6 linked regions of the Macaca fascicularis genome follow. The main gene of each other region encodes a partner of the protein of the gene in region 6 in a complex. Links are inferred from orthologs where the notes say so. Each region holds a gene or a part of one and is shown on either strand. Other genes may lie near its edges.

Region 1 (4,279 bases), on a different chromosome or scaffold from region 6:
TCCGCAGGAGTAAAATCTGTAAGATTTCTACCTCGTTTCCCTCGCCAGGATGTTGGGCAAAATGGAAAGCGATTTAGGTGAATGCCATAAAATACTCTACAAACCATTAAATATCATCAAGAACGGCTAAGGACAGCATCGCCCAGCAGGCGTGTGCATATATTTTGAAAGGTCTCTGCAACTGAGGGGGTTCTGACGTCCAGGGCGCCTCTGTTTGAAAACGCACGGCGAACTGGTACCAGCCCAAATTCACCTGTCTCGGCTCCATTTTTTATCTTTGATCCCTCTATTCTGTGCCCTGAACAGGCTGGCTGAAGAAGCCACACTGGCAGCGTCAACACTGCGGAGCAACTGGCAGCGTCAACACTGCGGAGCAACTCGCCAGACTCGATCCTGTCCACCCCCCTTCCCTTTAGCGTCTGTGGGGGAAGATGCTCAGAAAGAGGCGCGGGGGCGAGGGGAGCGGCGAGGTTACCCCCCTCCTGGGTCCGTTCCGTAGGGACAGGCCCTGGACTGGACTGCCAGTTCACACGAAAACAGGTGACAACAGAGTCGTGAACACACGCACACACAGCAAGGGATGTGCACGAACGTTCACGAACACGCACCAACGAAACCCGCACACAAGAGATACCCACTCGACAAAACTAAACCCGCACACATGAGATCACGCACTCGACAGAACCCATGCGCAGACACTCTGGGGACACTCGGAGACACGCGAGGACGCACACTCGCGCGAGCAAGGCTCTAGGCGGGGGTCGCGATTACAGGAGGCGCGGCCACGCGCGCTGGGGAACGCGCAGCCCACAGACATGGGCAGTGACACAAAGGGGGGGCCACCCGCGAGGCCGAGAGCGCCCCCGCAGCCGCCAGGGAGCGCGGACACCGACACAAAGGGGACCACGAGGCGACACGCGAGCGCGGGCCCCTCCACCCAGCAGGGGGTGTCAGCCACGCACCGGCCGAGGCACGGGCAGCGGGGGAATGCGCACAAAGCGACTACTCCCACCCTCGCTCCGGCATCCCAGGGCCTCGCTCGCAAAAGGGCACCAGACCAAGGGGACAAACCCACTGGGGCAGGCAATAGCGGCCACACCCCCTCATTGCGCGGGGCCCCAACCCATGCAGACACACAGCGGGCACCGCAGCGAGGAACGCGGGGTGACGCGCACACACCCACACTCACCACACACCCACGGAGGGGGTGTGGAATGCCCCACTCCCCCGGCATCTCGGCTGCAGCGGGACAAGGTGACACATCCGGGAGCCCGGCCGCGCGCCGGGTGTGCACTCACCCGGGCCCGCCGCCCGCGAGCCTCGGCGCAGGCAGCAGCCTCCGCCGCTGCTGCCGCCGCAGCCGGCACCTCCGGCCCTCCACGTCAGCCGACGGCGGGAGGGAGTGGGCGGCTGCGCTGAAGGGAGGTGCATCACGTGGGCGGGCAGCGCGCCTGCGCAGTCGCACCCCACCGCCCCCTCCTTCGCCGTGGCGATTCGCGGGATCACGCCGGCCTCGTGCCGCCCGGCTCCCACCCAGGGAGGGTCCTCGTGCGCCTGCGCCAAGGTGGGGGGTGTCGTTGCGCCTAGGCCTTTCCCTCAGGTTTTCCTCTTTTCTCCCCCACTGCGGCGCCTGGTCGGCCCTTGCGCAGAGAACTCAGCGCTGAGGTGGCCGAGGTGTCGAGAGGGGCCCGGGTGGGCGTACGAAGGACCCGAGGTCGAGGGCCCCCCCATACCCTGCCTCGAATGAGAAATATAAATCTCCACGAGTGGGCAGGGCCCGGGGCCTGGGCGCCGCGACCCAGCAGGCCCGCGTGCTGGTGGGCGCCGCGCGAGCCTTGTTCCCTGCCCTCCCCTCCCACAGGGAGACCACGCTGGCAGAGCTGGAGCGCGCCTCTGTCCCCCCGAGCCCCTCTCGCTGCCCTATCCCCCGCCACCCCTTCTGTTGCGGGGCGCGCGCCAACCTGGGTGCCTGTGTGCGCGCGAGGCGGGGGCGCGGGTTGCGGACGGGGGCGCGGGAGGCGGTTCTGTGCGGCGGGGGCCGTGCCCGCGGCGGAGCGATGGGGCGAGAATGGACCAATGGTGCCGGGGAGCACCTCGCTGATGGCTGATTGTGTTCCTTTTCCACAGGTTGTCTAAAGCCCCAGGAAAAATGGTGGAAAATTCACCGTCGCCATTGCCAGAAAGAGCGATTTATGGCTTTGTTCTTTTCTTAAGCTCCCAGTTTGGCTTCAGTAAGTACTTTCCTGATGGATGGCCAGGGGCTTTTTCTGGCGTTCAGTGACAAGGGAAGAATCCATTGGTTAGACTGTGTACACATGAACTGTTGATTCTTTCTCCCTATGTCTCTTTTTAAGAGAATCTGAAGGGAACTCGTGTTTGTTGAGTGTTCTGTGTGCCAGCACTAGCCTAGGAGGTTTTAGTCTCTACAAATATTTATACAGCGCCAGACGCGATGGCAAAGTGAATAAAGCCTGGTCCCTGCCCTTAAGGAGGTCGTGGTCTTGTGGAGGAGACAGATGAGTAAATCTACAGTTAGTGCTCAGTGTCAGGGGAGCACGGTGGAGAGACATTGAAACCAGACTGGAAAATCAAGGCTTTTACAGAGGCCTTTCCCCCTGGCACTGATGCTGGTTAGAAAAGAGTAGGAGAGAGGGACGACGTGGAAAGGCCGTGAATGAGGGCGTGAGAGGGTTTGGACCCGAGGAGCTTGGTATGGCACCAGTGTGCCCTGCGGGGATCTGGGGAACAAAAGAAGTAGCCCAGAGAAGTCAGGTTGAAAGGTGTGTCCTTTTCGTCCTGGATCTCCCTTAATCCCCATAACGTTCCGTTTTACAGATACGGAGACTGACGCTCACTGAGACACTAGTATGCTCAGTCACACAGCAAGCCCCAAGTCTCTCCCCAAAAGGATTTGGGAATTTTGAGGCACACAAGAGGGAGAAAATTGAGTGCCCCTGATCCAGCGTTTTGCAACTCTTTGGAAACTAGGAAAGTGGAGGAGTGGTAGTACTTCTGAACCCTAACTAAAATATATCAGCCTGCACCATCAGTACAGCTTGCAGATGAATGTAATGGCCAGGCTGTTACAACTGAAATGAAGTGAAGAAGTTACAACTGAGTTCAAATTCTGACTCCTCCACAGATTACCCATGTGAGCTGGGACGCTCAGCAAATTTTTTGAATCTCAGGTTCCTTATCTGTAAAAGGTTAGTGATAATGATGGTTATTAAATGCTTATGACACATGAAACAGTTCTATGGGGTAGGTTCTGTTATTATTGTCCTTTAAAGATGAGCATCCTGTGGTTTCAGTAACTTACTCAAGATTGCAAAGCTACTAAATGATAGGCCTCTAAATTTGAACCCAAATACACCGACTGACTTCACTCTGCTGCCTCTTCTGACTGTTGTGAGGATTAACCGGGGTAATTTATGTAAAGCATGTAAAATAATGCCTAGGAACGGTTAAGGACTTAATAAGTGTTAGCTACTGATGTTATTGTTAGCAACTTTCGTAAATCCTTGTTCAAAGAATGTATCAAGGATTAGAAGCTATATGAATAAATAAAAGCAATCACTTTAAGACTTAAATTCTGGCCAGCGCAGTGGCTCACGCCTGTAATCCCAGCACTTTGGGTGGCCGAGGCAGGCATATCACCTGAGGTCGGGAGTTTGAGACCAGCCTGACCAACATGGAAAAACCCCGTCTCTACTAAAAATACAAAATTAGCAGGGCATGGTGGCGCATGCCTGTAATCCCAGCTACTCTGGGAGGCTGAGGCAGGAGAATCGCTTGAACCTGGGAGGGGGAGGTTGCGGTGATCGCACCATTGCACTCCAGCCTGGGCAACAAGAGCGAAACTCTGTCTCAAAAAAAAAAAAAAAATTAAATTCCATGATACACACAACCAAAAAGTAATTCAAGTATTTATTGGTGCTTACCATGTGCCAGGCACTGTTACAGGCTAGGAAGGACCAAAACAGCCAAAAATGCCCTGCTTTCATAGAGTTTTTATTCTAACGCTGGGGGGAGATAGTCAATGGACAAATTAAATAAGAAAAACGTATACAGTATCAGGTGATAAAGTACCATGGGGAGAAATTAAGCAAGGGGAAGGAGGATACGGAGTGGAAGGAGGGCCTTTTAATGTGCTGCTGTGTCTTTTTTTTTTTTTTTTTTTTTTTTTTTTTTTTTTGAGACGGAGTCTCGCTCTGCCGCCTAGGCTGGAGGTGCAGTGGCGCGATCTCGGCTCACTGCAAGCTCCGCCTCTCGGGTTCAC
Region 2 (4,175 bases), on a different chromosome or scaffold from region 6:
TCCAATGTCAGCATGTGACAGGAGGGGAAGTGAGGCAACATGGCAAAACCCGGGGGAAAAGGTGGCAGGGAGTCTGAGAGTGAGGTTGGGAGACCAGCATCTTTTAGGCCCTGAGCAAGAAGGGGGTGACTGGAGTCTTCCAGGTATTCCTCCCTCCTAGCTTCTGGAAGTGAGAGTCAGGGAGGGGGCTCCGGTCAGGCAGGGGTAAGCTCCATGTCATGGGGACTCTGCAGGACAGGCAGGCTGGAGGCGCCACTGTGCCTGGACAGGTTCTGCAGGCTCCCCTACTTGGTCCCTGTGCTGGAGGGGAAGCAGAGAAGGGGCTGGCAGCCTCATCCCCGCGGGACCTTCACTGAGCCTTCTTGGTCACCCTCTCGCTCTTCAGCATCACGTAGGTGATGAACAGTCCTGGAATACATAGACCAGAAAGGCCACATAAGATCTAAGCTCAGGGCTGCTGGGAGGCCAGGGCACGACACAGCAGAGCCACCCACACGCAGGGCTGTGAACCTACCCAACCACTCTCCAGGGAACCTGCTTATCTCCCTAGTCATTCGTCAAGCCATAGGTCCACTCACATTCATTCAACAAACACCAGCTGAGTGCCTGCCTCAGGCAAAGATGCTGCATTTAGTGTTTCAGATTCCAAGGGGAACAAGATCCACCCATCTATAGATCACCCAGTCAACCACTTGTCCACCTATATACCTACCCACCTCCTATACCTCACCCACCCACCCATCCATCCACCCATCATCCAGGCACCCGGCTATTGACTGACTCATCCAAATGACTTTCTGAGCACAACCTCAGTGCCACAGCCCATTCTAGATGCACAGTAATGATGGAGACACAGTCCCCGCCCCTAGGAAGCCATGAGAGAGAGAGGTGCAGGAATTAGAAGCCAGGGTGACAAGAGGGTGACTGAGGTGTGAGCAGAGCAATGATGGGGTTGGGGGCAGGAAAGAGGGGGACAGGTCATTGGAGTCCAAAAAGCCTGGGGCACCAGGAAACCCAGAGGTTACTGACTGGCAACCTCGAAGGATGAACAGGAAAACCCCAGGGGTGAGTTCGGGGCAAGGAGCTTCCAGCAGTGCCAAAGTGTGGAAGCATGTTCAGAGGTGGGGTCCCCCCGAAACCCTGCCCGGGGTCAAGGGGAGGAAGTGATGACTTACCCACAAACAGGAGCAGTAGGAGGCCTGCAGCCAGTGGGATGGCGACAGCATAGGCTCGGGGCAGGAAATACTTGTGGATGACATGCTCACTGTCGATGAATGGCTGGCATCGAGGGCAGAGCTCTGGTGAGCCTTGCTCGCCTTGCCCAGCCCCCAAGCCCAAACACACCACCTCTAGCATCTAAGGGGCTGGCCCATTCAGAGCACTGGGCCTGCATTTGCTTTTCTTTAAGATTATGGCATTTGGGTGTCATGGTTTGTTTCCTTCCTTAATTTCTTATTGGTATTTACCGGGCACTTGCTTTGGTGCCTGCCATAGGTTGGTGGTGGGGACAAGAGAACAGGGGACAAGAGACCAGCCCTAAGGCACTCACAGGCTAGCAAATAGTACATGAGGAATCCTCGACTGACTCCCAACCTGGGCCTCCAGGGATTCTTCACTAATATTTTTTCCCTAAAGGATAGCAAGTTCTGCACTTCCAAACACACTGCACTTCTTAAGCAATGACCAACACGTTTTCCCACAAGAAAAAAATATCCTAAAGGCCTTCACAGATATCACTGGCGCTCGCCATGCCTGAGTCAGCAGGCTAACCCAGAAGGAACATAACTCCCCCAAAAGTCAAAGCAAGCTGGAAACAGAGTTTTAAGTGTAGCGGCTAAGGATGCAATCTTGGGCCAGATCCTTCTCCCCGAGCCTCAGCTATCTCATCTAAAAAATGCGGCACCACTGGCATCTTCCTCATAGCGTTGTTTTGAAGATTTCAAGAGATAAGGCAGGCAATGAAGCCAGCGCCGTGCCTAGAACCTACATAGAAGTTGCTTTGGCGGTGCCAGGGCTACGGGAAGGTGAGCAGCGGACGGGGAGAATGACATACCAAGAGAATCACCCAGGCGGTGTAGTAGGTGAAGATGATCAGGCTAACGGCGACGAGGCCGAGTCCCACCACCTGGTCTGTCCCCGTGGCCTGGAGAAAAGGGAGGTCTCAGCTGACGAAGTGACTCTCTATTTTGGCGTACTAATGGAGGCGGGGCGTCGCGGCCCAATCACGGTCTAAGCTTCCCATTCAACAGATGCTAGAGGAGGCCGGGCGCGGTGGCTCAAGCCTGTAATCCCAGCACTTTGGGAGGCCGAGACGGGCGGATCACGACGTCAGGAGATCGAGACCATCCCGGCTAACAGGGTGAAACCCCGTCTCTACTAAAAAATACAAAAAGCTAGCCGGGCGAGGTGGCGGGCGCCTGTAGTCCCAGCTACTCGGGAGGCTGAGGCAGGAGAATGGCGGGAACCCGGGAGGCGGAGCTTGCAGTGAGCTGAGATCCCGCCACTGCACTCCAGCCTGGGCGACAGAGCGAGACTCCGTCTCAAAAAAAAAAAAAAAAAAAAAAAAAAAAAGATGCTAGAGGGCTGACTAGGGATCAGTTTCTAGGCTGGGAGAGAATGCCAGGCCTCCGCGTTATCGTCCGTACAATAGGGGGGGCGGGAGAGCAATCCCCGTTCCAGTGCCCATGCCCCAGCTTCTGAGTACCCGAGACCCCACCCCCAGACGCCCCTATCTCCGGCACTCTGTCCCAATCTCACCATTTCCCCGCGCGTTCAGTCACCGGAGCCGCAAGCCACATCCGGTTCCGGATTCACGCTTTTCCGGCTTTGGGCTGCGGAGCGCGCCGGGAGTCGTAGTCCCCAGGCCGGCTCAGGCCCACGTCGTCGGAGACTAGCAGGAACCGCCTCCTCCCCTTTGCATATCGAGGAAGTGTAGTTCTCAAGAGCATTGTGGGGCCGGTTGCTGCCCGAATCTCCCTAGGGAATGGGACCGAGTTGGGGACCCAGACTCCCTGGCCTTCATGGCCACAGTCCTGTCGCCGCCCCACCAAAAGCCAATCTCTAAGTATCCCAAAGTCCTGGGGTCAGAGTGAGATGGGAGTGCGGGATCGGAAGTTCCATTTTTCAGATGGGAAAAGCGAGGCTCAGAGAAAGGTAGATCCCAATCCGAGTCAGTGGTGAAGCCGACACGGGAACTGGGGGGCCGTAACTAGTCTGTAGGTGGGAGAGGCGCAGAGAATGTTCACTTTTCAGCCTAGGATGGGCGGGGGAGGGTCTGTCCCCAGCCCGCATGAATGGGGAGGATTTGGATTGGTGGAGAGGGGGCGCCCTCCTCACCATCGCCTGGCCTCCTGGGCCACCCTCTGGATGTCCCCTCCTTTCCTTCACCGGCTGCCTCTCGCAGCAGCCCAGACATGTTTCGGACCAGAACCCACGCACAGGCCCCTCCCCGATCTTGGAGGATCCTTCCTCTGAGAACAAAGGGATGTTGGGCCAGATCATCTTCCACGCTTCTTCAGCTCCGAGATAGGAACGCGGGCCCCCACCACTCACCGGCCGGCTGCTCCCCATCCATCCAGCCTCACTGGGACGCCACGTTCCCCAGGGAAGCCAGCTGGGAAGGGTTTTTTTTCTTTCTTAGAAACGGAGTTCTATGTTACCCAGGCTGGTGTCGAACTCCTGGGCTCAAGCGATCCTCCCAACTCGGCCTCCAAAAGTTTACAGGCGTGAGCCACCGTGCCCAGCCTCCTGTGCCTTTTAATTCACTGACACACTTGTTCATCCGGCCCTGTCAGCTCCCTGAGGGTAGGATCTGAGATTGCTGCTGTATCCCTGGCACCCCGTGGAGGCTTGGCCCAAAGTAAGAGGTTTTTTTTGTTTTTTTGTTTTTCCCCCAGAGATGGGAGTCTCACTGTCGGCCAGGCTGGAGTGCAGTGGCGTGTTCTCAGCTCACTGCAACCTCCGCCTCCTGGGTTCAAGTGATTCTCTTGCCTCAGCCTCCCGAGTAGCTGGGACTATAGGCGCGTGCCAACACGTCCAGCTAATTTTTGTGTTTTTAGTAGAGATGGGTTTTCACCGTGTTGGCTAGGTTGGTATCAAACTCCTGACCTCAGGTGATCCGCCCACCTCAGCCTCCAAAAGTGCTTGGGTTACAGGTGTGAGCATCGCGCTCGGCC
Region 3 (2,750 bases), on a different chromosome or scaffold from region 6:
TGTCATTTATACTACAGTATACCCTGAATTAATTCAAAAGAAAACACATCTAACATGTCTTAATTTTTTGATGCAGAAGAATCACTGTTTCAGGTTTCTGTTAACATAAGATTCCAATAAAAATAAAGTTTGTATTCGGTTCTTTGGTTTCTCTGGGTTAACTACTGAAACACACTATACTTCAGAAGTATTATACTATGCTCGATTAGTCTTACTGAAAGTTCTGGAAAATCAGAGGCTATTAATGTGTCGATGCTCATGCCCTTAGTGGTGTTATTCAGCGTCCTGGGAAAATAAACTGAAATGTGGCTCAAAATATGGCTCTAAGCTCAACAGGGCACAATCCACTACTTGCAAGTCTTCCCACCCCCTACTTTCCTAGGAAATGATTCTATTTTAGGTATTAAGTACCTCTCTCAACACAGCTATATTTAGTGCAGTTTTACAACTTCCCTTAGTATCAATAACACTTCTGTGACCAAACAAATAAACAAAACAAATGATTACAAACTGGTTTATTTTTTATGGGAAAGTGTCAACATCTTTATTGCTAATATAAGCATTTAATGTCAAAGAAATGAAGGTAATTTTACAAACTCAATTTTTGTAAGTACATGAAATTTCTATTTCATTATATGGTTTTGTATCACATTCATTCAAATGCATTTCTCTCCCTTACAGGGACTATTCCAACATCACTCCTTTGGAATTATTTCAGTCATCCCTAACATGTGACTTTACCAAAGACCTTGAAGCTAAACAAACAAGCAAAACAAAATTTCAATGACTTTTAGATGAATGGAATAAGAAATAGTCATCACATGTCAATTAGGGATGTTTATCTCCAACAAGACACTGTCAAAATGTTTCTTCTGATACAGCAGTTATAAGTCAGAGCCTTCAAAAAACAAGGGCAGAACAAGAGCACAATAAAAGAAGCACCTGCAACTTAAGCCTCCCACAGTCCTAAGCCTGATATGCGCAAAGCAAAGCCTCTTTCCCACAAACTCAATTCCATCCATTTGAGCTTTCAGAGATAGATGCCCAAGAACTACCATTAATGTATACAGCATATTGACTCTAGTTGCATCAATTATGCCTGAAGAGTTTAATACCCATCCAAGTCCAAAGGTGGAAGAATACATACACTGGTATGGTAATAGGCAAGAGCAGGCTGTAAAAGCAAAGGCTGGCTGTGCTAGTGCAGCCCTGTGGGAAGTTTTCTTCCACAGAGGCTGAGTAGAACAGTCCTGTTAAAGAAACCAGTGGAATAAGAACAGTCAATGTAGGAAGAGACAGAAACATTCTTCTCTTCCACTTATTACCTGCCACTGTGTTTTAAAAGGTATATGGTACTAAGAAAAGTTGGCTGTTGCGTTTTATGTTTTTTTAATTATGAACTAGCGCTGCTCCACTTCTTCCTGCTTCTTACTTTGATGCGTCATCCTAGCTGCCTGTGGTATCATATTAGGAATCCCATCAATGATTGGATAAGCTATTCCCAACTCTTCATTAATCAATTCATTTGTTGATGCTTCATATCTGGGGTGGAAAAAAAAAAGAACAAAATGAGTTGTGGAAAAATAAAATAATTGAAGAGCCTGATTTTCAACAAATACCATCATTTATCCAATTCTTGGTATGGAGTTAATCCCAGAATAGTCTTCTTTCATTAAAAGCAACGATAGCCAATTCAACCTTTTATCTTAGAAAAATTCTCTTAGAATCTATAATTATTCCCATTTTAGTCAGTTTCTCTCATATTCTCTTTTTCACCTTATTCACAAGTTATTCTTTAATTTTTTTTTCATACTAGTCAGAAAAGATCCCCCTCTCTTATCCAAATATTCCTTCATTACTTTGGTCAACCCCCAAATCATCTCTGTTAATTTACTACTGGAATAAACACTAGAGAAAAATCAACTTCTTCGTTTTAGAATAAATGCTAAGCAGAAAAACTTAACTAATCCATTAGAAGGAAATCACTGGAAAAGGTGAGAGGGCAGAAATGAGGAAACTTTGGAAAGCAGTAAGTCTGCCGTGAGCTAGTTATAAACGCAAATCAAATAATTTCAAGGTTTGAGAAAACTGAATATGTTTATTATGGGAAAAAAGAAATATGAAAAATTGCTAGCAATCTACCACTCAAAGATAACCACTGACAACGTTTTGGTGTTTCGTTTATGCGATTTGTAATACTAGCGTTAGTGTTGTCAATATTCCATTTTTGGGAGCTTGGAAACTGTAGAGCTGTCTTCCCAAAAACTAGGTTAAAGAGGCTTCTAAGAAATCTGCTAGGCCACAACTAAGAGCCACCAGGCAGCATACACAGCTGAATTGCTTAAGATTGTCAGGCACCAGTTGTACAAGACACTTTCACAAGAATCTGGAGGGTAAAATACTTTTCATTATCTTGGCTTAAAAACCGGATGGCTTTGGACTTGTCCTGAATCGCAGTAATTCAAGAACCTGGTGGTACGTTAGAAATCATTTAGGGACCATTTAAGAACACAAATAAGCTGGGCGTGGCGGCGGCGCCTGTCTCCCGACTCCTGAGGAGGCTGAGGTGGGAGTTCTAGGCCAGTCTGGGCAACGTAGGGGGGCACCCTGTCTCTTAAAAGGAAAAAAAGAAAATACAAATGTTCAGGTCCCAACCCCCGAGCATTCCAAGTCTGCCCGTCTTGGGGGCTGCAGGGGAATCGGCATTTTTAAAACGGTCCCCGGGTGATTGCAAAGAGCAGCCGGTCGCG
Region 4 (3,500 bases), on a different chromosome or scaffold from region 6:
ACCTCCACTTAAATGGACTGCTGGGTCAATCAAGGTTCTCCATTCCAAACGTAAACTGACCAAGGCCCACATCTAGATTTTAGGCCACTCCCTAGCACACTGGCACACCACTGAGCTCAGTGCTTATCAAGAAACAGTTGTGTTTGTTCACACATCTGTTTGATGTCAGTTGTACTTGTCATCGTGTTGAGTAATTTAATTCAATATCACATAAACTGATAAAAAGAGTTTCTACAAAAACTAAGCTGAACAGTTTGAAAAATCCAATAAAGGAAAGTCACAGAAAAAAGTTCTTGGCAGATGAGGGGTGTCCTAAACTGCTGTATAAAACTGAAAACAAATTAAAATTCCTGAAGCATATCAGTTCATATGCCTTTAAGTTCTGACCCCACTCAAAAGAAACTCAAAGTAGCAATGGTAGATTATGTTTTGTGAAAGGGAGTGTACAAGATGCAGCTGAAACCAGTGGCCCAGCACTCAAAGCTGGCAGTCCTACATCCAACTACTGGCAACTCAGTGTGTATTAATATTTTGAGTTAAATTCAAATATTAAATATTTAAGGGGGTATGTTTTTTTTTTTTTTTTAATGATTCCCTACTATAAATGACACTTTTGATTAGTGGACAGGTTTTCAAATAGCACTCAGAAGACACTGTTTTTTATAACCAGACTGTGTCAGACTTTTAGTAAACAAGCCTCCACACATTCAACTGCAGTGTCCATTAAGTGCTGTAGAGGTACAAAAAACAGCCTCCTTGGCCAGGCGCAGTGGCCCATGCCTGTAATCCCAGCATTTTGGGAGGCCGAGGCAGGCGGATCACGAGGTCAGGAGTTTGAGACCAGCCTGGCCAACACAGTGAAACCCTGTCTCTACTAAAAATACAAAAAATTAGCTGGGCATGGTGGTGGGCGCCTGTAATCCCAGCTACTTGGGAGGATAAAGCAGGAGGATCGCTAGAACCTGGGAGGCAGAGGTTGCAGTGAGCCAAGATTGCACCACTGCGCTCCAGCCCAGGGGGTGACAGTGCGAGACTCCATCTCAAAAACAAAACCCAAAAAACCTCCTTGATAATAGTGGATAGTTACAAACTAGGCTAATAGTTTATAGGAACTATCACTGAACCCTTCCGAGGTTCCCAATGTTGCTTAAATTACACAAATGAAAAAAACTGAGACTTAGAGATGTTAAGCAACTTGTCCTCAATCACACAGCAGGACAGACCCATCATCTGATCCCGGGACATCTAATCCCCTTTTCTTCATCACTTACCTGCCAATATGTTATTAATGTCTTATACATGATGAAATGAAACAAGCAAGCTACAATACAGTAATGTGCAGAGCAAGCCCACTCACTGATTTTCAGTATATGTACGTACACATAAAAAAGACAGGAAAGCTATAAATCAAAATATTCATTAGGGTATCTCTGAATAATACAGTTACCGCTGATTTTAGTTTTCATCTTTGTGCTTTTCTTAGTTTCCAAAATATCTGCAATGAAAAGACATTACTTTGGCAATCAGAAGAAAAAAGCCATCTGTGACCTCTGCCCTTTACTTCTTTTTTTTTTTTTTTTTTTTTTTGAGATGGAGTCTCGTTCTGTCACCCAGGCTGGAGTGCAGTGGCACGATCTTGGCTCACTGCAAACTCCGCCTCCCGGGTTCACACCATTCTCCTGCCTCAGCCTCCCAAGTAGCTGGGACTACAGGTGCCCGCCACCGCGCCCTGCTAATTTTTTGTGTTTTTAGTAGAGACGGGGTTTCACCATGTTAGCCAGGATGTTCTCAGTCTCCTGACCTCGTGATCCGCCCACCTCAGCCTCCCAAAGTGCTGGGATTACAGGCGTGAGCCACCATGCCCGGCCTGCCCTTTACTTCTTTACCACATGTGCAGGGCTGTTTTTATTTTTAAAAAGACCTGAAATGTAACAGCATCAGGTTATTGTTCTTATTTTTAGTAACCATTAAAACATCAAAGGTTGGGGGACAGCATTCACCACCATCCTGAAAAATCTCTCTTCTTGGATATATAAACCAATATTAGAACTTTCTTTGCTATAATTTATAGCATTATAAAACCATAAAACAAAATGAAAAGCCAAACAATCATTACATACAAGTATTCAACAGCTTTCTACAGGGAAAAAACTCTACAATGCAATTATAGCTATCATTTCATTACCTTTTCTGTAAACAAGTCTGCTGACAACAACAATAGTTATACTATCATGCCTTCTAAATGGGTCTGGAGTGAAGTCAGTAGGATCTACAGCATTAGGAATGACGGATACTATTTCAGGATTCAGTGCTGCTCTTAGTACAGTATTTTCCTTACTAGTATAAGACACACAAATGATGTGGTTTGTATCACAAAGAGACACGGTTAGAAGCTTGTTTGTAAGCACCGAGCTGACATCAGCAAATCCAAAAAGGGAATGATCCGTGAAGACTGTCTGAAGCCCCATTGTCTTGGCGTGGAAGAGAGCATCATGGGCCATGGCAGAAAAAGAACTATGTGAATGGATTATCGTGACTCTCTCCCGAACGAATATGTACCTGAGCAATGGCAGACTGTGAAAGAGGGTCGTGGCTGTAGACTGGTTGTACATGACTTTCAGAGGCAAGTAATAGACTTTGAGGCCATTAGTGAGGTAACGGATGCCTTTTCGATTTCCATAAGCATGGGTGACAATTATAACCTTATGCCCTCTTTCAATCAGGCACTGTGAGAGCTGGTAAATGTGGCTTTCCACGCCTCCCATATTTGGGTAGAAAAAGTCAGATACCATGCATATATTATGGGCATGGGTTCTACATGTGGAAAGACTTCCAGGGCTAACCCGAGAGGGTGTAGCTGAGGCACGGTGGCCATCCCCAGCTGTTCCTCTACAGGCCATACTGAGATGGTTTAGGCATCAGTTCTTAGAGCAACCCAGTTAAGAGATGTGTCCTCTATTACCTGAAAAAGAGTAAAACAGGATCTCAGCTCAGAAACAAAACACATTCCTATTACAAATCCAGATACAGATACTGTTTTAATGTTAATGTAAATTTGTTAGCTTTTCCCCAGAATTAAAAACAAAGCATATCATCAATTTACTCATTTGACGTTTACTTGCTTGGCATTTATATACAACAAAACTAGGTTCTACAATGTCTTAATTTCGTCCTAAAAACACTGCTACATGTGTAACTTTAAATAGTAAGTTTGTTACACCACAGCATATCATGGTCCCCAACAAACCAGTCTCTTCCAATAATTAAGTATATACAAACACCATCCATACACACAGGTTTACATATTTCCCCTTTACTCTTACACTTTACCAGCTTCTATTAATACTTATTAAATGGCCACTATACATCAGCCACTACATGCTAAGAGTCTTCTATATCTTATTGCAGCCTCACCAAAACTCCATGAGTTATCAACTCCATCTTAAAAATGGAAAGTCTAAAGCTTAAAGGGGTTAAGAAATTTGTTCAGTTACTCAGTG
Region 5 (3,948 bases), on a different chromosome or scaffold from region 6:
TTAATTGGTGCAGGGGAGGTGGTGGTTAGTGACCAATATAATTAGTTGAAAGGGAAGGGGGAAGAACATTCCAGGTTGGAATAAACAAGGGAACAACCTGGAACTTTAATAGAACTGTGAACTTAAAAACAAGAAGGAATGTAGGGATGAAGAACAGTAAATCCTTAAGGATTTGATCACGTCAGCTTTCCAATAAGAGCAATCCATGCCCTACTATCTGCATTTTTTTCAACTTCATTTTACTGTGTAGAATTGAAACAATTCAATATTCATTTGGGTTGGGGTTAAGCTGTATGTTTGAATGAATTCCTTCAATCAGATTTCTTCTCATTCCAGATATTCATTACTCTCATAAGCAGTTCTGAATAGGAAAGGTAAGAAATTTTGGCACACAGAGCCCTTAGAAAGTATTGCAGTAGAGTTTAAAGGAAGATGTGGTCACTGAGTCCTGGGGTACTTGATAGGGGTAAGCAGAGTACACCAGGATGAGAGAGATAAGTACAGAAGGGACCTGGCACAAAAACAGATTTTTGTTTTTAAATTTTGCCTAAGATCAACTATACAATGGTATAAAGGAAAAGAAAGGGTCTCAGAGTCAGAAAGCCCTGGGTTGGAAGCCCAGATCTGCCATTTACTGCTTTGAGACTTTGGATAACTCACCCTTCTTTGTGAGCTTTGGTTTTCTTCGTTCTAGGGCTAAAGTAAGGAATTCAGAAAAGCATCTGGCACTCAGTGGGCATTTAATAAATATCTATTTCCTCCTCCTCACATGACCACACACATAGGCTATAAGAACTCAGGCTAGGCTGGGCGCGGTGGCTCACGCCTGTAATCCCAGCACTTTGGGAGGCCGAGGTGGGAGGATCACAAGGTCAGGAGATCGAGACCATCCTGGCTAACACAGTGAAACCCTGGCTAACACAGTGAAACCCCGTCTCTACTAAAAATACAAAAAAAATTAGCCGGGTGTGGTGGCGGGTGTCTGTAGTCCCAGCTATTCAGGAGACTGAGGCAGGAGAATGGTGTGAACCCAGGAGGTGGAGCTTGCAGTGAGCCAAAATCGCGCCACTGCACTCCAGCCTGGGCAACAAAGCGAGACTCTGTCTCAAAAAAAAAAAACTCAGGCTAGTACTAAAATTCAACTATACTGTAAATTAAATTCTAGGGGGGCTATCAACTTAATCATTTTAACAGACTTATGAATAAACTTTTTTCTTTCTTTTTTTTTTTTTTTTTGAGACAGAGTCTCCCTCTGTTGCCCAGGTGGAGTGCAGTGGCGTGATCTCAGCTCACTGCTACCTCCGCCTACCAGATTCAAGCAATTCTCCCGCCTCAGCCTCCCGAGTAGCTGGCACTACAAGCGTGAGCCACCACGCCCAGCTAATTTTTGTATTTTTCGTAAAGACGTGGTTTCACCATGTTGGCCAGGCTGGTATCGAACTCCTGACCTCAAGTGATCCGCCCGCCTCAGCATCCCAAAGTGCTGGGATTACAGGCGTGAGGTACAGCCCTTCGCCTGAACAAACATACAGTTTAGATACAGTTAGATACAGTTTCCTACAATTAGGGCAGTCTTAATTCTGCATATTTCTATGCTAAATTACCATGCTCTGAAACATGCTTTGACAGCAAAAAAGCTAATGGATGCAGTAATGGAAACAATATCCAAGTTACAGAAATAAATAGCCCTGCTGTACTTAGCTCTGATAAGATCACTTCTGGGATAATACATTCAATTCAGGCACTACATATGAAACTAGAACTCATCCTGAAAAGGGAAACTGGGATAATTCTTTTTATTTGAGAGCTGTCACAAAGTTACTGCATTTAACCCTCACGATATCATGAAGCTGGTATGGCAGGCATGAATTCTATTATTAGAGATATAGAAAATTGAGGCTCAAAGAAAACAGGAATGAATCTGGAAATTGAGCACAGATATCACACACGTCCAAAATTTCATAATCCTTTAGAAAGTACTTGAAATTGGGGAAGGGTTTGGGAGGACGGAGGGTTAAAAAACTGCCTTGAAAAACAGAGATTAGGAAGAACTCTAACACTATCTATACACACGGATAAACACACACACTTGTGGAGGCAAAGACAGTTTGTGGAAGTCTACATAAAGTATTGTTAGCAGTACTACTTTGAGGAGCAGAAGTGATGGACAAGGAAGACTCACTTAAGAGTTCCCTGAACTCCTGGAATTAAATTACTGCGCGCCTATACTACATAGAACACATGCAAGTTAAAGTTTTATACCGTCGTGCAAGAACTAGATGTGTGCTGAGTGAACCCACCGAGCAGAGCACAGCCACGGAGAGGGAAGGTACTGTCCAGGAGCACACACTTCACTAAACGTCATTTAAAGAGCTGTCCAGCAGCGGAATGTCGTCCCCTGTCGTCCCCAGAACCCGTGAGTTCCCGCCCTTCTGTTCTATCATTGTAGGAGGGGCCGACCAGAGGTCCGGGCTCGACCAAAGATCCCAAAGACCCTCCCAAAGCCGAACCCCCTCCTTCGACCGCGGGGAGGGGCCGACTTGCCCTTACCTCGCAGAGGGTGAAGAGTCCGTAGGCCGCCAGCCACACCGTGCAGGTGACAGCGGTGAGCGAACGCAGCGAGAGCCGAGGGCAGCTGAGGCAGAATTCCCGGCAGGACGGGGAGTAGTAGCGGCGCTGCAGGGCCAGGCGGCCGCCGCAGATATCCGAAAAGCTCCGCTCATCCTCCATGATGCCCCGACTCGGCCGCCAGCACCGCACCGCGCGGCGCTCCACAGCGATCGCCCGCTCTAGGCGTCTCGCCTGCTCCAGACCCGCTTCCGGCAGCCGCGTCACCATGCCCCGCCCTAAGCCTGCGCAGCCTCAGTTGCGCGCCGAGAACCCTGTGTGGGGTTGATGACTGTGCATTCGTCCGGGCCGGCCTTGACCCGGCTTCTGTGATTGTCTTCGAACAAAGCCCGTCGGGGGCAATAGTTCAGCGGACGGATTAAAACCGTTTTTAGACCGGGCGCGTTGGCTCCCGCCTGTAGTCCAGCACTTTGAGAGGCCAAGGTGGGAGGATCGCTTGAGCCTGGGAGGTCGAGGTTGCAGTGAGCCGAGATCATGCCACTGCTCTCTAATCTGTGCGGCAGAGCAAGACCCTGTCTAAAAACAAGCAAATCCACAGTTTGTTTTTTGTTTTTGTTTTGAGATGGAATGGCGCGAACTCGGCTCACTGCAACCTCCGTCCCCCGGGTTCAAGCGATTATCCTGCCTCAGCCTTCTGAGTAGCTGGGATTACAGGCGTGCGCCACCATGCCCGGCTGATTTTTGGGTTTTTAGTAGAGACGGGGTTTCACCATATTGGCCAGGTTGGTCTCGAACTCCTGACCCCAGGTGATCCGCCCGCCTCGGCCTCCCAAAGTACTGAGATTACAGGCGTGAGCTACCGCACCCAGCCCAAACCCACAGTTTTAATCACGCTTTTGCTTGGCAAGGTGATTTCTCTAAGCCGGAAAGACGCAAGAAGAGTCCACGGGTATTCATTCCACTTTTTTCCTGTGCCGGGTAGTTTGAGGTGCTGAGGATGCAGCAGTGAACGATGTTGATGACAGTCTCTGCCCTCAAGTAGCTTCCTTTCTAGTAGGAGACAATATGGAAATAACTTGAGAATATTGTTGGCAATACTATGCTGACTGGCAGGGATTGACTGAGGACTTTACATAGGGCAGTCATGGGAAGTCTCTAAGAGGACACTGGAGTTACAAAGGGTGAGGAACCAGACAGGACTGAAGGAGCTCTGGAGGAGGAATTTGCCAGAAAGGAAGACCAGGAAAGACAAACCCCTCGAAATTGGAACAAACTTGGCTTAATGAAATAATCAAAAGGCCAGAAAGGTTGATATGTGAGGAAAACAGTTGGAAATGGGGGAGGTAGGTAGGGGTCAGATCCAAGAGGGTCTTGTACGGA
Region 6 (2,279 bases):
CAGCAGCACCTGGGTGCCCCTCAGAGAGGAAGGTACCTCCAGCCTCTGCCCATGCGTGGAGCTGGCCCCCACACGTCCTCCCTCGTAAGCCCCTTGCTATTCTTGCAGCTGGTGTGAAGTTCCGTGTCCTGCAGCATGAGGCCGGCAGGCCCCTCCGCCTCCTGATGCAGGTGAGGCCCCCTGTGGCCAGGACGTCCTATGCTGCTGCCCCTGTTCTGGAACAGTGGGGTCAGCTGGGTGTAGTGTCTGGATGGCACCATGCCAGCCTGCGATGAGGCACAGGGAGGGTCCAGTGGAGCTGAGGGGCAAGGCCCACCCGGGAATACCCCCCCTTACCCGCAGGGCCTGAGGACACTGGTGTCCTGTGGATGGGGCCCATTCTGCCCTGTGTCAGAGGCGCCCTTGGCTGGCTGGGGCTGCCCTGGGTCCCACAGGGCTCAAGTTCTGGGTGGAGTAGAACCGACTGAGTGAGTCCTGGAGTGGGGTGTGTGTCCCTGCAGCACGGCCCCTCAGAGTTGGGCAGCCCCGAGGGGAGATGCAGCTCCTGCCTCCCCACAGTGCTCCCTTCTGGCTGCAGGCTCACCTGCCTCCCTGGGAACTGGGACCGGCCTGTCCCACAGGCGAGGGAATGTCTGGGACGGTGCTGGCCCTGCCCCACCACTGCCTGCCCCCGCCCTCTCTCTGCAGATGGGGTTGGAGCTCAGACCACCCCGCTGACCGCCGCCCTTGTCCTTCCAGATAAACCCACTGCCCTACAGCCGCGTGATGCACACCTACCGTCTCCCCAGCTGTGGCTGCCACCCCAAGGACTCCTGGGGTGCCCTGTGCCGCAAGCTGTTCTTTGGGGAGCTCATCTACCCCTGGAGGCAGAGAGGGGACAAGCAGGACTGAGGGAGCCGGCCGCCGGCTTGCCCAGAACCACTGCACAGCCACGGCCAGCCCTCTGCCAGGGTGGTGCCAGCTCAGCTGGCGCGCGGCCCGTGCTTTGTGGACGCTGCTGTATGCTCCCGAACACAGCAGGCCCTGCTATCACACCTTGGGCTTGGAGGTCATTGGGGGTGAGCAGATGTGGGGGTGGCCAGCCCAGCTGGCCGCGCTCCATCACTGGCACTGCCTGCCTTGAGACCCGCTTCCCGCCTGCTGCAGTCACCACGGTGGCGAGCACAGCAGCCCCAGGTGTGCAGAGCACTGCCCCATGCCCACCCTGCGTACCCAGGTCCAGAGGGCCCGGGCCCTGACTCCCTGAACCACACGGGGTTTATTTGCTGATGTTCCCTGGAGAGGTCGCTTTGTGAAGGAGCTGTCAGCAGGCCGTGGGCATTGCCAGGCTGCTGTGGGGGTGGGAGCAGCCTTAGTGTCAAGGGCCTGCCCACTGACCCAGCCATACCTCTCCGTGAGTGGTGCCCCTGCAGCAACAGGCCCTTGGGCCAAATCTCCTGTCTCCCATCGTGGGCCTCCCAGGGAAGGCGGAAGCCCTGCTGTGCAGACACGTCTGTGGGCCACGGGTGTGAGCAGCCTGGGAGGGGCTGTGGCACTGAAGCCAAAAGTGCCTGCCAGACAGCACGGCCTGGGTGCGGGGTTCCCTTCAGGAGGGGAGGCTGCAGGTGCCGGCTGGTGAGGGGATGACGCGCTGTGGGCGGGAGGAGGCAGCGCCCGTCTCAGCAGCACCAGGACCACTCCGGACTCCCTGGCGACCCAGCACTGGGGAAGCCGTCAGCTGCTGTGCAATAAAACCTGCCCCGTGTTTGGAGCGCAGGCTCCGCCCCGGGTCCACGTGCACCACGAGTCCAGGGAAGCTCCAAGGTGGGGATGCGGACGCTACCCGAGGGATTTGGGCTGCCTCACGTGGGCCTGCCCTGCGGAGTCGACGCCAGTTTCCTGCTCGAGGCCCTGACGACGGCTGATGGGATGAGCTCGCAAGTCCTGGGCCCCAGAGGACCTTGGTGTAGGCGGGTGAACCCGGGCCCCCCCACCCTGGGGTCATGGCCTTGCCCTGACATAGATGGCGCAGGGGTGTAGGCCTCCAGGGGCGGGGCGGGGCGGGGCGAGCAGCTCCAGCTCTGGGTCTGTGGAGTCCATGCGGGGTGGGGCCCTCATGGGTCCTGGCCCAGTAGAGCCTGCAGCTGCCACATCTGCTAAGAACGGTCTCCGTTGCCTGCAGTGCAGGGGCCCACCTGGCAGGCCCCACAGCCCATTCCCGGCCCGAAGTGTACAGGCTTCCATCCAACCTGGACTTCCAGGCAACCAGAGGCTGGACTCAGAGGCACTCGGAGCCCACC

The links.
Region 1: PIGQ (region 6) and PIGP share a complex: the UniProt entries of both Homo sapiens proteins name them as parts of the glycosylphosphatidylinositol-N-acetylglucosaminyltransferase (GPI-GnT) complex. The link is inferred for Macaca fascicularis from reciprocal best matches to the Homo sapiens genes PIGQ and PIGP.
Region 2: PIGQ (region 6) and DPM2 share a complex: the UniProt entries of both Homo sapiens proteins name them as parts of the glycosylphosphatidylinositol-N-acetylglucosaminyltransferase (GPI-GnT) complex. The link is inferred for Macaca fascicularis from reciprocal best matches to the Homo sapiens genes PIGQ and DPM2.
Region 3: PIGQ (region 6) and PIGY share a complex: the UniProt entries of both Homo sapiens proteins name them as parts of the glycosylphosphatidylinositol-N-acetylglucosaminyltransferase (GPI-GnT) complex. The link is inferred for Macaca fascicularis from reciprocal best matches to the Homo sapiens genes PIGQ and PIGY.
Region 4: PIGQ (region 6) and PIGA share a complex: the UniProt entries of both Homo sapiens proteins name them as parts of the glycosylphosphatidylinositol-N-acetylglucosaminyltransferase (GPI-GnT) complex. The link is inferred for Macaca fascicularis from reciprocal best matches to the Homo sapiens genes PIGQ and PIGA.
Region 5: PIGQ (region 6) and PIGH share a complex: the UniProt entries of both Homo sapiens proteins name them as parts of the glycosylphosphatidylinositol-N-acetylglucosaminyltransferase (GPI-GnT) complex. The link is inferred for Macaca fascicularis from reciprocal best matches to the Homo sapiens genes PIGQ and PIGH.

What each region holds. Positions count from the first base shown.
Region 1 is NC_088377.1:9,901,903-9,906,181, forward strand, and holds the start of PIGP (phosphatidylinositol N-acetylglucosaminyltransferase subunit P), read left to right. Parts: upstream 1-1,479; 5' UTR 1,480-1,743; coding exon 1,744-1,817; intron 1,818-2,127; coding exon 2,128-2,231; intron 2,232-4,279. UniProt on the Homo sapiens protein: Part of the glycosylphosphatidylinositol-N-acetylglucosaminyltransferase (GPI-GnT) complex that catalyzes the transfer of N-acetylglucosamine from UDP-N-acetylglucosamine to phosphatidylinositol and participates in the first step of GPI biosynthesis.
Region 2 is NC_088389.1:16,050,654-16,054,828, reverse strand, and holds the start of DPM2 (dolichol phosphate-mannose biosynthesis regulatory protein), read right to left. Parts: upstream 2,801-4,175; 5' UTR 2,761-2,800; coding exon 2,758-2,760; intron 2,144-2,757; coding exon 2,054-2,143; intron 1,279-2,053; coding exon 1,176-1,278; intron 409-1,175; coding exon 350-408; 3' UTR 1-349. UniProt on the Homo sapiens protein: Regulates the biosynthesis of dolichol phosphate-mannose. Regulatory subunit of the dolichol-phosphate mannose (DPM) synthase complex; essential for the ER localization and stable expression of DPM1.
Region 3 is NC_088379.1:94,070,560-94,073,309, forward strand, and holds PIGY (phosphatidylinositol N-acetylglucosaminyltransferase subunit Y), read right to left. Parts: upstream 1,401-2,750; 5' UTR 1,306-1,400; coding exon 1,090-1,305; 3' UTR 501-1,089; downstream 1-500. Other genes in the region: PYURF (protein preY, mitochondrial), read right to left, coding at 1,401-1,542. UniProt on the Homo sapiens protein: Part of the glycosylphosphatidylinositol-N-acetylglucosaminyltransferase (GPI-GnT) complex that catalyzes the transfer of N-acetylglucosamine from UDP-N-acetylglucosamine to phosphatidylinositol and participates in the first step of GPI biosynthesis.
Region 4 is NC_088395.1:15,133,792-15,137,291, forward strand, and holds part of PIGA (phosphatidylinositol N-acetylglucosaminyltransferase subunit A), read right to left. Parts: intron 2,963-3,500; 5' UTR 2,901-2,962; coding exon 2,186-2,900; intron 1,496-2,185; coding exon of another isoform or gene 1,448-1,495; intron 1-1,447. UniProt on the Homo sapiens protein: Catalytic subunit of the glycosylphosphatidylinositol-N-acetylglucosaminyltransferase (GPI-GnT) complex that catalyzes the transfer of N-acetylglucosamine from UDP-N-acetylglucosamine to phosphatidylinositol and participates in the first step of GPI biosynthesis.
Region 5 is NC_088381.1:135,501,309-135,505,256, forward strand, and holds the start of PIGH (phosphatidylinositol N-acetylglucosaminyltransferase subunit H), read right to left. Parts: upstream 2,801-3,948; 5' UTR 2,731-2,800; coding exon 2,551-2,730; intron 1-2,550. UniProt on the Homo sapiens protein: Part of the glycosylphosphatidylinositol-N-acetylglucosaminyltransferase (GPI-GnT) complex that catalyzes the transfer of N-acetylglucosamine from UDP-N-acetylglucosamine to phosphatidylinositol and participates in the first step of GPI biosynthesis.
Region 6 is NC_088394.1:1,334,782-1,337,060, forward strand, and holds the end of PIGQ (phosphatidylinositol N-acetylglucosaminyltransferase subunit Q), read left to right. Parts: intron 1-108; coding exon 109-170; intron 171-738; coding exon 739-891; 3' UTR 892-1,779; downstream 1,780-2,279. UniProt on the Homo sapiens protein: Part of the glycosylphosphatidylinositol-N-acetylglucosaminyltransferase (GPI-GnT) complex that catalyzes the transfer of N-acetylglucosamine from UDP-N-acetylglucosamine to phosphatidylinositol and participates in the first step of GPI biosynthesis.